Xenopus tropicalis: one gene and its partner. The protein of the gene in region 2 purifies or fractionates together with the protein of the main gene of each other region. This does not show direct contact. Links are inferred from orthologs where the notes say so. Each region holds a gene or a part of one and is shown on either strand. Other genes may lie near its edges.

Evidence for each region. The genes of interacting proteins can lie anywhere in the genome.
Region 1: the proteins of ddx39b (region 2) and ncbp3 purify together in Homo sapiens (co-immunoprecipitation; 4 studies listed by BioGRID and IntAct, with this or other methods). This does not show direct contact. The link is inferred for Xenopus tropicalis from reciprocal best matches to the Homo sapiens genes DDX39B and NCBP3.

Annotation. Positions count from the first base shown.
Region 1 is NC_030678.2:48,493,747-48,500,052, forward strand, and holds part of ncbp3 (nuclear cap-binding protein subunit 3), read left to right. Parts: intron 1-296; coding exon 297-402; intron 403-1,238; coding exon 1,239-1,364; intron 1,365-3,720; coding exon 3,721-3,846; intron 3,847-6,294; coding exon 6,295-6,306. UniProt on the Homo sapiens protein: Associates with NCBP1/CBP80 to form an alternative cap-binding complex (CBC) which plays a key role in mRNA export. NCBP3 serves as adapter protein linking the capped RNAs (m7GpppG-capped RNA) to NCBP1/CBP80.
Region 2 is NC_030684.2:74,201,240-74,207,545, reverse strand, and holds part of ddx39b (spliceosome RNA helicase DDX39B), read left to right. Parts: intron 1-1,814; coding exon 1,815-1,942; intron 1,943-2,995; coding exon 2,996-3,088; intron 3,089-4,779; coding exon 4,780-4,963; intron 4,964-5,722; coding exon 5,723-5,841; intron 5,842-6,306. UniProt on the Homo sapiens protein: Involved in nuclear export of spliced and unspliced mRNA. Component of the TREX complex which is thought to couple mRNA transcription, processing and nuclear export, and specifically associates with spliced mRNA and not with unspliced pre-mRNA.

The DNA.
Region 1 (6,306 bases), on a different chromosome or scaffold from region 2:
TGTTAGATGCAATATTATACTTTCCTAATAAACACAAATAAAGACTTTTAAGCAAGGGGATCTCCTTCCTTTTGTCTTTTTAACACTTAGCTGTTAAATCTTTGTAACTGTACTTTTTATTAGTGTAATTGTATTGACCCTATTCTATGAATTTATTGTGCTGTACAGCACTGTGTACATATGTAGCACTATATGAATAGAATTATACATACATAAAATAATTGTAATCACAGGCTGCATAATGGAGTTAACTGATTGCTGTTAGATACTAACTCAGTGTTGGTTTTGTTTTTAAGGAGGCTATCGAGAAAAAGGAACAGAGGGCAAAGCGGTTTCATTTTCGAGCAGAAGTCAGTGACCAACAAAGGAATGTGGTACTAGATCGAGAAATGATTAGAAAAGGTGGTTATGAGAGGCTTTTCCATTGTAAATTACCTATGGGTGCTATGTGTTGTCTTTAGTGTTGCATTTAGTTATTTGATCATTTAAAGGAGAAGGAAAGGCTAATAAAGAGTTAATCTCTAGCTGCAGGCATACCTTCAGTTCTCTCAATAGTGCCCTTAAGTCTCCCAATATTTCACCTGTTCAGAAGATCTGAAGCCAAACAGGAATAAAAAACGCAGAGCTAGATAAAGAGGATTCGCATAATGCATTGCTCGTGCATTGACTATGTGAATAGGACACTAGGTGGCGCATGCACATTGCTCGATCTTAGTAAGAGAAGCCTGCGAGCGGGCGGTGGTGTTCGATCGCCACGGGGCGGTTTGCAAGCGGGGGAATCCAGGAATCCAAGATGGCGGCTGTGACAGGCTGCAAATACACCTAAGTTACAAGCCAATTTTTGTGAGATGTTATTTTATTTTAAAAAATAAATTTGGTGATTTGCTTTGGGCAAGGGAGCTCTACACTATATTAAGGGATACAACAGTAGTAGCCTTTCCTTGCTCTTTAACATCATTGCTTAAAATTGCCAAAAGAAAATTATTTTTTAAATTTTGCTTTCTAAAACAAACCCTTTCAGATTTTGACACTGTTTTGCTATATACCTTGCCAATACCGTTTGCCCAAGGGTTAGGTCTGTTCCTTGGCAGTAATAGAATTGTACCACCAGATATATTTACTGCCAACAGTGATGTTTAAAATAATTTATGAGGCGGTTTCCTCCATTATCTTTGATTTCTTCAGTTTATGAAATGCAAAAGAAAAACTTCTAACATGTTTTTTCACTATTTCCTTAGCAATCCCCAAAGTCCGCCTTGAAACTCTTTATGTCTATGGTGTTGATGATATGAGCACTGAGGATATCTTTGCCTTCTTTAAGCAATACCCTCCAGGATACATTGAATGGCTGGATGACAGCTCCTGTAAGTGTATTCCTATTTTGCTAGATGCTTGGATAGAATTCATTTTTCTATACAATACAGAATGCCATTTGTTATGAGTGCATATTGGTGCAGTAACTACGATTCCAACAATCCAGTCTTGTTTTAGCCTTCTGATCTTACTTTCAAATACACCTGAAGCCTTAAAACAGTCTCAATAGTGCCATTATTTGTATGTCACTTTTTCTGTATCTAAAGAGAAACATATTTTCTGGTGATTGTGTTTAGTTCTAAAAATGTTCTTTTTCTGGAATAGTTTTAACTGTTTTCATTTGCAGATAATATTAAAGAATATCCACAAGTGCTCCTAATATATTTGGTATGGCAGCAATATCCATTCCACAACTCTGATAGCATGTATCATTTCAGTTCTTCCTCAGAAACTTAGAGATGGACACCAGTGCTGAATGCAGAAAGATAGCTCTGGATCTGTTGTTCTGTAGTCACCAGTAGTATAAATCCCATTTGTAGAAGGGGTGAACTAATTAACACGTGCTATACCGTGCATACATAAGTATTTAAAGGAGAAGGAAAGGCTAATAAAGAGTTCATCTCAAGCTGCAGGCATACCTTCCCTTCTCTCAATAGTGCCCTTAAGTCTCCGCATATTTCTCCCATTCAGATTATCAGAAGCCACACAGGAAGAAAAAACTGAGCTCTGTAGAGAAAGTTCCCATAATGCCTCACTCCTGCACCAAGAGCAAGACCTGTGTACATGCTCAGTTAGACTATGGGGCTGATTTACTTACCCACGAACGGGTCGAATGGAGTCCGATTGCGTTTTTTTCGTAATGATCGGTACTTTGCGATTTTTTCGTATGTTTTGCGATTTTTTCGGATTCTGTACGAATTTTTCGGATCCAATACGATTTTTGCGTAAAAACGCGAGTTTTCCTATCCATTACGAAAGTTGCGTAAAAAAGTTGCGCATTTTGCGTAGCGTTAAAACTTACGTGAAAAGTTGCGCATTTTTCGTAGCGTTAAGTTTTAACGCTACGAAAAATGCGCAACTTTTCGCGTAAGTTTTAACGCTACGCAAAATGCGCAACTTTTTACACAACTTTCGTAATGGATACGAAAAACTCGCGTTTTTACGCAAAAATCGTATTGGATCCGAAAAATTCGTACAGAATCCGAAAAAATCGCAAAACATACGAAAAAGTCGCAAAATGTTCGTTTTCAAGTCGGAACTTTTCCAATTCGGGTCGGATTCGTGGGTTAGTAAATCAGCCCCTATGAGTCAGCTTCCTGCTGATTGGCTCAGATCCACCTTCCTAAGGGGGGGAGTGAGTTCTTAGCATTCTTGAGGGAGGGCGGGAGCAGGAGAGAGCAGAGAGCTGCCTGTCTCTGGCAGAGGAAAACAGACGCAACTAATCTTTTGTAATTTCTTATGGCTGTATTTACATAGACCTTTCTGATAAAGCTTACTTAGTTTTTACCTTTCTTTCTCCTTTAATGTGCAGTACATAAAGTACATAATGGTGCATACCATTATGTATGCACCGCACCAAAAAGCAATTGGTAATAAGCTGATTGATGTGGCCCTCTTTCTGCTCCTTAGATATATTTGTATCAATAGTAAAAGCTCACCCTTGTGTCCTATAAGCTGCCCAATTCATAAGCCATTTGCACCATACTCTACTCAATGAATGATTCTGTGAAAGCTCCATACAAAGAACTCATGCAGTTTATTACAGTGGCTAAAGACAGCTTTTTTGTGTTTTTCAGGGTTTATGGTAGAGCAGGGAATTTGGAATGTATTTCCACTGTTGTGTATGTTTTATGTGTGCAAACGAGAAATCTTACTTGAACATCCAACACTGAATATACATTAAATTAAGGTATTTAAATTCCTTAGTCAGTGAATTCTTTTCCTTTTTGTCTAAGGAATGATTAATGCTAAAAGCTGGGGTTTATGGTCCCCAAACTGACACAAGTTTAACATATTGGATAGGTTTTACCTACCAGCCAGTGAGAGAAATGTATTATATAGTGAAAGTTAGCATTGTTTAGAACTATACATACCTCTCACCAGCGCACCACTTCTGTGATAGACAGGGTCAAAGTCTCCAAAATTTGTTTTCTGTATTTTTTGTTACAGATGTTTAACTTTATGTGGGTGGTGTGCTTCCTAATGCACTTGGTACTGGACATACTGCAACTATGGACTGTTAATTGTTTCACTTTAGACTAAAACAGTGAATAAATTGTTGTATTTCCTTTCCATGTTGAATCCTTTGATTGCACATTTTAGAATGCTGTGTATTTTACTGTACAGATGTGTGCCAGCAATCTATGCAAGCTGTGTTCATGATTTAGTTTTGCATTTTCTCCTTAGGTAACGTTGTGTGGCTGGATGAGGTAACTCCGTCTCGTGCTTTGTTAAACCTAAGCAGTATGCCCACTAATGAAAAAGGCCAAAGAAAAAAAGATGGAGAGCACAGTTCTGCCAGATCCAAAAAGGGTAAATTCTTCTTTTTATCTCGCCATCTGACATAATCATTACTCTCATACCCATAATGGTTTTTAGGATAACTGCATGCACAATACCTCTTTGGAGCTTTTAGTCCCACAAAATGATATCTTGTTTCAGGTTAAAACATTTTAAAGGAGCAGTATGCACCTATAACACCCTTTTGCAACATGAGCAAAATAAACAGAACCTGTGCTGAAAGTACATGTGAAAAAACAATGTAAATGATTATTAATATAAATAAATAAAAGGGAGAAGACACACTGGGCGATTAGTCGCCACGACTGTTAATGAAGCCAGTTTCAGCGAGTACAATGGCCATCACCACGACTAATCGCCCCATGTGTCTTCGCCCTAAAAATACATAGTTTTTAGTTATTTGTGTTGTAAAACAGTAAGAGAACAATGTTTTGCTTCCACACTTACTATCCTACCATTAGTTAACTTACTTATAGATACTGAGCCCTTCTGTCACTATTTTATTGTGGCGGTTTTGTTAGAAGGAGTTCATTTATTCAGTTGTTTATCTGTGCTCTGGTAATCTGTTTATATTTATGGGACCTGTTATCCAGAATGCTTGGGACCTCAGGTTTTCCAGATAAGGGGTCTGTCCATAATTTTGATCTCCATGCTTTAAGTCTGCTAAAAAAAATTGTTGAAAGTTATTAAACTCCGAAGGATTGCTTTGCCTCCAATAAGCAGTAATTATATCTCAGTTGAGATCTAGTACAAGGTACTGTTTTATTATTTCAGAGCAAAAGAAAATATATTTAATATTCTTGAATTATTTGATTAATATGGCATCTATTACGCCTTCCCGTAATTTGAAGCTTTCCGGATAATGGGTTTGAGAATAAAGGATCCCATACCTGTATTAACTTGTAAAATCCAAACATGGAGTAGTTTCAGTTTTTTTATTTCTCTGTGTAGATAAAGAAATAACAAAAAACATTGTTGAACATGTTGAACAAGGGGTCATACTGCCCCATTAATAATTACCTTGGGCTGGTACAGAACCTGTTAGCCTACTTCTTTGGAGATTTAGTTTTCCTTTAAGTAGTTTTTGCTAACGGTGATGTACATTATGTTTTGGGTTTATGTACCAGCCCAAGGCAACCACAGCCCTTTAGCAGGGAAGATCTGTGCCTCCAATCCCCCTATCTTCTTTTCTGCTGATAACCTGCCCATGCTCTGTGCTGCTGTCACTCACCTGAGCTTAGGGACCGACACACAATATGCTGTATATACAGTGTATAATAAATACTATACAAGGCTAATTGGTAATTAGTAATTTTTAGAGTTTATTTAAGGTAAGGGTTAGTTAGTTCACCAGACTTGCTTTTTATGATTTCCTTTCAGTTGAATTTAAAGATTGAGTCCGCAACAACCAAAAAGTTATTTTTTTTAATAAACATCTTTATTATAATCCGTTAAAACAAACCCCATATACAAAGCCTAATGTGTTTCATGCTAATCTATAAATACATGGTATAGAGCACAACCCACCTTTATTAAAACCAATCAATGTAGAGCAACTCACTGCTCCTCTAATGCAGACATTTTTATTCATTAAGTTTACTCTATCAAATAAAAAGTCAATTTTACCAAAGTTAAAAAATACATACCACAGGGTTACAGAGTGAAAATACACAAAAAATATAAACAATATATTTTTCACACAAAGCAGGTAAAATCAAAAGTAAAATTCAAACCTAAGGGTATACGTGTATGAACATAAAAAATCCAAAACACTTCATGTTTATGGAGAAGGGTAAGGGTATCTCCTCCTCTCCTTCCAATTTGTTCAATTGCCTGTACTGAAAATAATTTTTTTATCACTATTGTTACACTTTGCAAAGTGTCTAGTGTACAATCTTACAATATACAAAATTACACACAGGGAGTGTTATAATAAATACAATAAATAAGTATAAATACACAAGGAGTAAGTGCCATGTGGTAAGCAACACAGTAGGAAGGAGGTCCCTGCTCCGTAGCGCTTACAATCTAAGTGGTTGTTGGGTAACATACAGGTACAAATTGGAAGGTAAGAGTGCATCAGGTATGGGCATTTGCCCTTAAGCGCAGGACTAGGCAAAATAATGTTTTAGTGCTCCAGAAGGTAGCATCTAGAGTTTTATCTCAAAGAGAGTGGGTGAGTGTTACCTACAGAGGGATTCAGGAATAGAGTTCCAGAGGCAAGGAGCAGCGAGATAGAAAGGTTTAAGACAAGAAATTGCAGTGGGTGTGGATGGTGTAAAAAGACGGAGGCCCTGAGAGGAGTGGAGTAGACGACCAGGATTTTTATTCACATTCTTTATTTTACACAGAATTTGTAACAGTCTCTCTGTTGTAGGGATTGGCTTCACCTTGGAATTTGTTTTCCTTTATGAACCAGATTTAACATGTAACTTTCCATATTTTTTACTGTCCTTTTAGACAGACTTGATG
Region 2 (6,306 bases):
CACAGCTCAGAGTTTTTTCTTCCTGTTTGCGTTCTGATCATCTGAACAGGAGAAATATGGGGAGACTTAAAGGAGAAGGAAAGGCTAAGTCACTTGGGGGTGCCAAAATGTTAGGCACCCCCAAGTGACTTACATGACCTACCTTGTACCCCGGGCTGGTGCCCCCGTTAGGAGAAAACAGCACCAGCCCGGGGCACCTGTAGACACCGCTTCCTCCTTCCTTTGCGCGCTGCTGCCGAAATCCGTGGGCCGGCGCATGCGCAGTAGAGTGAAAAGCCGACTTTAATGTTTAAGTTCGGCTTTTCACTCTACTGCGCATGCGCGCGCAAGCGAGGAGGAAGCAGGTAGCGCCGGCAGCTGCCCCGGGCTGGTGCTGTTCTCTCCGTACGGGGGCACCAGCCCGGGGTACAAGGTAGGCGTTCTAAGTCACTTGGGGGTGCCTAACATTTTGGCACCCCCAAGTGACTTAACCTTTCCTTCTCCTTTAAGGGCACTATTGAGACAACTGAAGGTATGCCTGCAGCTTGAGATTAACTCTTTATTAGCCTTTCCTTCTCCTTTAAGCTTAGAACCACCTTATGAATTGATGAGACCCTGAGTGACTATTGTGAAGGCTTAGTATCTTGATCATTCAGTAAGCAGAACGGAATCCTGAGGGTTTCTATTCTCCTGATGGTGCTTTGCTATTTGCAGTTTATATATTTCCACAGAAAATCCACATTGAGGACTAAGGGGAGAAATTGAAAAGCCCCCCTGAATTTTGTGTTTGTTATTTTCATAGAGTGGAAGATAGGACTCACTATTGTATGGTGCTGCTCTCACCGTAAACTAGTGCTGTGTATTTAAGTTTTATTTGTTTCACTCCGACATTAGTACCTGGGCCACTGCATTTCTTAGCAAACAGGAGGGCCAGCCTAGGGTGGTCTCACATAAGTGATTATAGCTTTCTTTCTGATTTAAATTTTCCTATGCATCTTATACTTGTGTTGTGCTGCTTCCTGTTTAAAAAATGTCTGCTGCCCAGGGGGGAAAAAAATCTTTGGTAAATAAAGGTACTAGAGGCCAAAAAATGAACAGTTTTATGATCAGCATAAGGAACTAGGTTCTTTGTATGGTGCTAAAACAGACAGTCAATATCTTGCTCTGTCAAACGAGATTATGGATTAGCCACTTCTGAGCTTCCAAAGGGGTTAAATCTGTACATTATATTGTTGTTATGCAACATTTAAGAGACAATTCCACAGACATGCTCATTTATAAAGTTTATTTTCAGTTTTTTCACCACACTGAAATCATTGGAGGTACATGTATTGCTTACCCTAATGCAATTTCTGTCCATGCAGTAGTTATTTAAGTTATTATTTCAACCCGCTCTGGGTACTTCTGTACCTTATCAAACAAGCAGGTCTAATATGTTAAATCTTGCTGAACACAAAGACAGTTTCAGTAGTTTTTATTCGGTTAAATGAAAAGGAAATTGAGTTGGGAATTTACAAAACTGTTATGATATATATTTGTTTAATTTTGAAGTTAATTTAAAATTTGTTTCTATACTTTCTGTACAGTTGACACTGTTTTCCTGGTGTGCAGAAGTGCAGAGAGTTTAAACCACTAGATTCTGTTTTTAATATGTTATGTAAATAAAACTTTTGAATGTTTTTATTAATATACCTTGGAAAGTTGATTACAATTTACATTATGCAAAAGAAGGGCAGATAATAATTTAAAGTTTTCTTCTGTGGTTTTAATGTGTGTTTGAGTAGAGGGCATTTTTTATGTAATATCTGTATTTCTGTTTGTTTTCTTTCCTATAGTACAACATGAATGCATACCCCAAGCAATTCTTGGTATGGATATTTTATGTCAAGCAAAGTCTGGCATGGGAAAAACAGCAGTTTTTGTGTTAGCCACATTGCAACAGCTGGAACCTGTTACTGGGCAGGTGAGTGTTAAGGAACAAAAAAACAAAATTAAAAGTAAAGTCACGTTACTTTTAGTTAAGATGAAAATGAGCAAAAAATCACCAGTCCACCGAGATGCCCTTTGCATAAAAACGCCTCCCTTCTCCAAGTTTGTCTGTGAGATTAGAATTAGCCCATTATAAAAACAATAAGTAAAAAGGCGAAAATGTTCCGCACAAAAAAGGTTCTAATCCTGAGGGCATACTTTCTTTTGAAAAGTAAAATATATAACTAAACAAAAGCTACAATTATGGAGAGAATTTAGATTGTCTGAAATAAATAATTGAAAGGGAAATTCACAATAAAAAAAAAACAATGATTGGGGCCCAAACTAGCAAAATCTTATCATCTAATACTTTACAACTTGCGTGAGTACTAGTAGTTCTCTTAAAAAATTACTTTTTAAAATGGTGTAGACCCTATTCCTGTTAGCGATCTGGTGGGTTTAATTGTGCTTCTGGAAAGAGATGTTATTAGGAAATGCATTTTGCCTGTAGAGTTACCTGGGGATGTAGATGCTATGTCATTGGCAGTATCTTACATCCTTTGCCAGTGATGTAGTAACTGTGCTATTGGCAGGAAAAGGGTTAAAGTGCTATCTGGTGGCTGAAGCTTAAAGGAAAAGTAACACTAAAAATTTTAGAAAATACCTGCTAAAACTTGGCTTCTGGTCATTTGAAACAGGGCGATGCAGCGAAGAATTCAAACAACGGGAAGCCGGGAAGTTTTAGCAGGTATTTTCTAATAAAGCATTAAAAATAATAAATGGTGTGCAGGATAGGGCAATTATAGGCAGGGTAGAATAGATTTTTTACTTAAAAATTTTTAGTGTTACTTTTCCTTTAGCTACCCTAGTAAAAAATTTAAACTCCATGCAGCTCCTTGCCATTTATTGTCCAGTATGCTAACTCAAGACAAGTGCATATATTTGTTGCTGTGTGAAAATGCACTTAGGTGACATTTACAATCCAAAATATTGTATTTTCTGTTGTTTTTGTAGTGTTGACTGTCCCTTTCCTTGGATTGTATTGTAGGTCTCTGTATTAGTCATGTGTCACACAAGAGAGTTGGCTTTTCAAATCAGTAAGGAGTATGAGAGATTCTCCAAATATATGCCTTCTGTTAAGGTAAGGAATATGTATGTAAATCTGTCTGGTTTTAAATTTCCATGGCTTGTTAACTCTTGTTTGCCTAAATATGATGTGCCTTTCCAATGGAAAAGAAAAGGTACCCATCAGACATTTTTTTCTATAATGAACAGTTATTTTCCTTGTGGTGTTTAAGTGTGCAGCACTTTCATAACAATTCTTAAAGGAGAAGGAAAGGCAAAGTCACTTGGGGGTGCAAAAATGTTAGGCACCCCCAAGTGACTTTAATTGCTTACTTTGTACCCTGGGCTGGTGCCCCTGTTAGGAGAGAACAGCACCAGCCCGGGGTAGCTGCAAGCGCTTCCTAAAATTTTGGCACCCCCAAGTGCCTTAGCCTTTCCTTCTCCTTTAAGTTCATTTGCTCTTTAGAGAGCACTGTATTATAGAGTTTGATCAGAATAGCAGCAGCATGCCAACTACAAACCATACAAATAAATAAATAAATATATGCAGATAAGTAGACGAGAATGAAAAACTTGTGAATATTTCTTCTGATGAATATAAACCAGTCTTATTTGCCTGCTGATCAGTACATGTGTAGGTAAGAGGGCAACTTAAACAGTCTGTCTTTGGCCTGTGGGTTTGCCCCTTTCTGTCCTTTTAACTTTCATTTCCTTATGAAAAAAAGTAATATTTTCTTTATCTGTCCCATATTGCAGAAATGTTTTTTTCCTCTTTAGTTTGTGGGGATGGCAGTGACTGGCAGCAGTGTAACATTTTGATAAACAGATGCAACATTGTGTTTAAATCATACAGCTTCTGCAATCTCACAATACTTCTAAACCATATACATACATCCTATAATCTAATAATAAGTGGCAAGTGGAAGGGGCCAGAAGGTTTCTTTTGTAATGGATAGTCCAAAATTACTACGGGTTTATTTTATATAGTTAAAGGATCAGTAATGTCAAAAAGTGAAAATGTTTTTTTTTTTTTACATTTAACATTTTTATCTTTCTACCTAGATCCTTCAAATAAACTATTTCTTGGCAACAGTTGTCCTATTTTTTATGAAAGAGGTTTTCATACCTTAGGGCAGTGATCCCCAACCAGTGGTTCATGAGCAACATGTTGCTCCCCAACCCCTTGGATGTTGCTCCCAGTGGCCTCAAAGCAGGTGCTTATTTTTGAATTTCTGGCTTCTAGGCAAGTTTTGGTTGCATAAAACCCGGTGTAATTGCCAAACAGAGCTTCCTTTAGGCTGCCAGTCTATATAGGAGCTACCAAATAGCCAATTAAAGCTCTTATTTGCACCCTCAGGAACTTTTTCAATGCTTTTGTTGCTCTCCGACACACTTTCTATTTGAATGTGGCTCACGGGTATGAAAGGTTGCGGATCCCTGCCTTAGGGCATTCTCATTCTTTTTTCTCAGCAGATCATCCACCAGGTGTGAAGTTACCCTTACTCCCTTTGGCACCTATTTATCCTCCTGTGTCAGAACTCAACCCTCTGACACATCTTATCCATTACATGCCTTCTAAATCTGTGGCTCTTTTGCAGCAACACAGTGCAGTGTAGGGCAATGGTGCCTAATATTTTAATTACTTTAAAACACTCATTTTTTTTAGTGTTATTGTTTCTTTAAAGGTATTTGACTCTCTACTGTCATTGCTTTCCCCTGTTTTTCTGTTTTTTTTCCTTGTCTTTAAAATTACACTATGTCTTTCAGGTGGCAGTATTTTTTGGGGGGCTTGCTATTAAGAAAGATGAGGAGGTTCTGAAAAAGAGCTGTCCCCACATTGTGGTGGGAACACCAGGGCGAATGCTGGCGCTTGCAAGAAACAAGACTCTGAATCTGAAACACATCAAACATTTCATCCTTGATGAGTGTGACAAGATGTTAGAACAGCTAGGTGAGTAATTAAATGCAATACATGCCTAAATAAGCCAAAGGCAAAATGTCTTTCTTTTTTGGATTTACAACCTTCTTTAGGGAAATATACCACAGGAAGAAGTATATTTTGAATATTTTGTGTTTGTCATATGGGTTCTTATATTAAGGTGAATACAGCAGCCCTTTAAAGGAAATGTAACACTAAATTTTTTTAAGTAAAAAAGCTATTTTACCCTGCACCAATAAATGTCCTATCCTGCAAACCACTTAGTTTTTTAAATGCTTTAATAGAAAATACCTGCTAAAACTTGGCTTCCTGCCAATTGAACTATGGCGATAAGGCGAAGGAAGGAGCTGCATCCACTATGCGACGATCGATTGATCGAGCCTAGCCTTCTTTCTGTATAGGAAGGAGTCAGGCTAGGCTCGATCAATTGATCGTCAAATAGTGGATGCAGCTCCTTCCTTCGCCTTATCGCCGTAGTTCAATTGAAAGGAAGCCAAGTTTTAGCAGGTATTTTCTATTAAAGCATCTTAAGTTGCCTTGCAAGGCAACTTAAGATGGCTTCAGAAAACCAAAGCGACGCATGTTTTTCCATGGGTGATTTACACTGGTAGGAAAGCATTCAGGAAAGTAATTGCCCATGCTGGAGAAGATTTATCACGGAGCGACTAATCTCCTCATGTGTCATGTTTCCTTTTTTAAAGTTGAGATGGGTGGAAATTCCCCTCTCATTCACTGTTATTTACTCTGTTTTTCTTTTTCCAAAACCCATAGACATGCGCAGAGATGTACAGGAAATTTTCCGCATGACACCACATGAGAAGCAGGTTATGATGTTCAGTGCCACACTGAGCAAGGAGATTCGCCCGGTTTGCCGCAAATTTATGCAAGATGTAATTACCAACTCCTCATCTTCTTCCTCCTCCTCCCTCATTCCTCAAGCAGCCCCTGGCTGACAACGCTAACTAAGGGACTGTTTTTGAAAGAAGCACCAAGCCAAACTCAGGCATTACTACCCTGTGTGGCACTGAAACAACTTTTTCATTTTTTTGTTCTACACAAGCCTAAGTGCAAGTTGGGTCACGCACATTTCCCATTGCTGCACTTTTTAATTTTCATGTCCCCTGTCATGTGCTACAGAAGTGACACATAGGCTAAATACAAAAATGTTGATGTGACTAAATCATAGCATTCAACCTGCCATAAACTGGTGTGCTACAATAACACCAGCTAGTCACTCCAGAAAATTGTCACTATCCCTTATGATGTGTCACACCAAATACAAATATAATTACCAAGCTACAAATGGCTCTCTAGCAACACAACATCTTGAGAGTCATACATTTATTTGACGCACA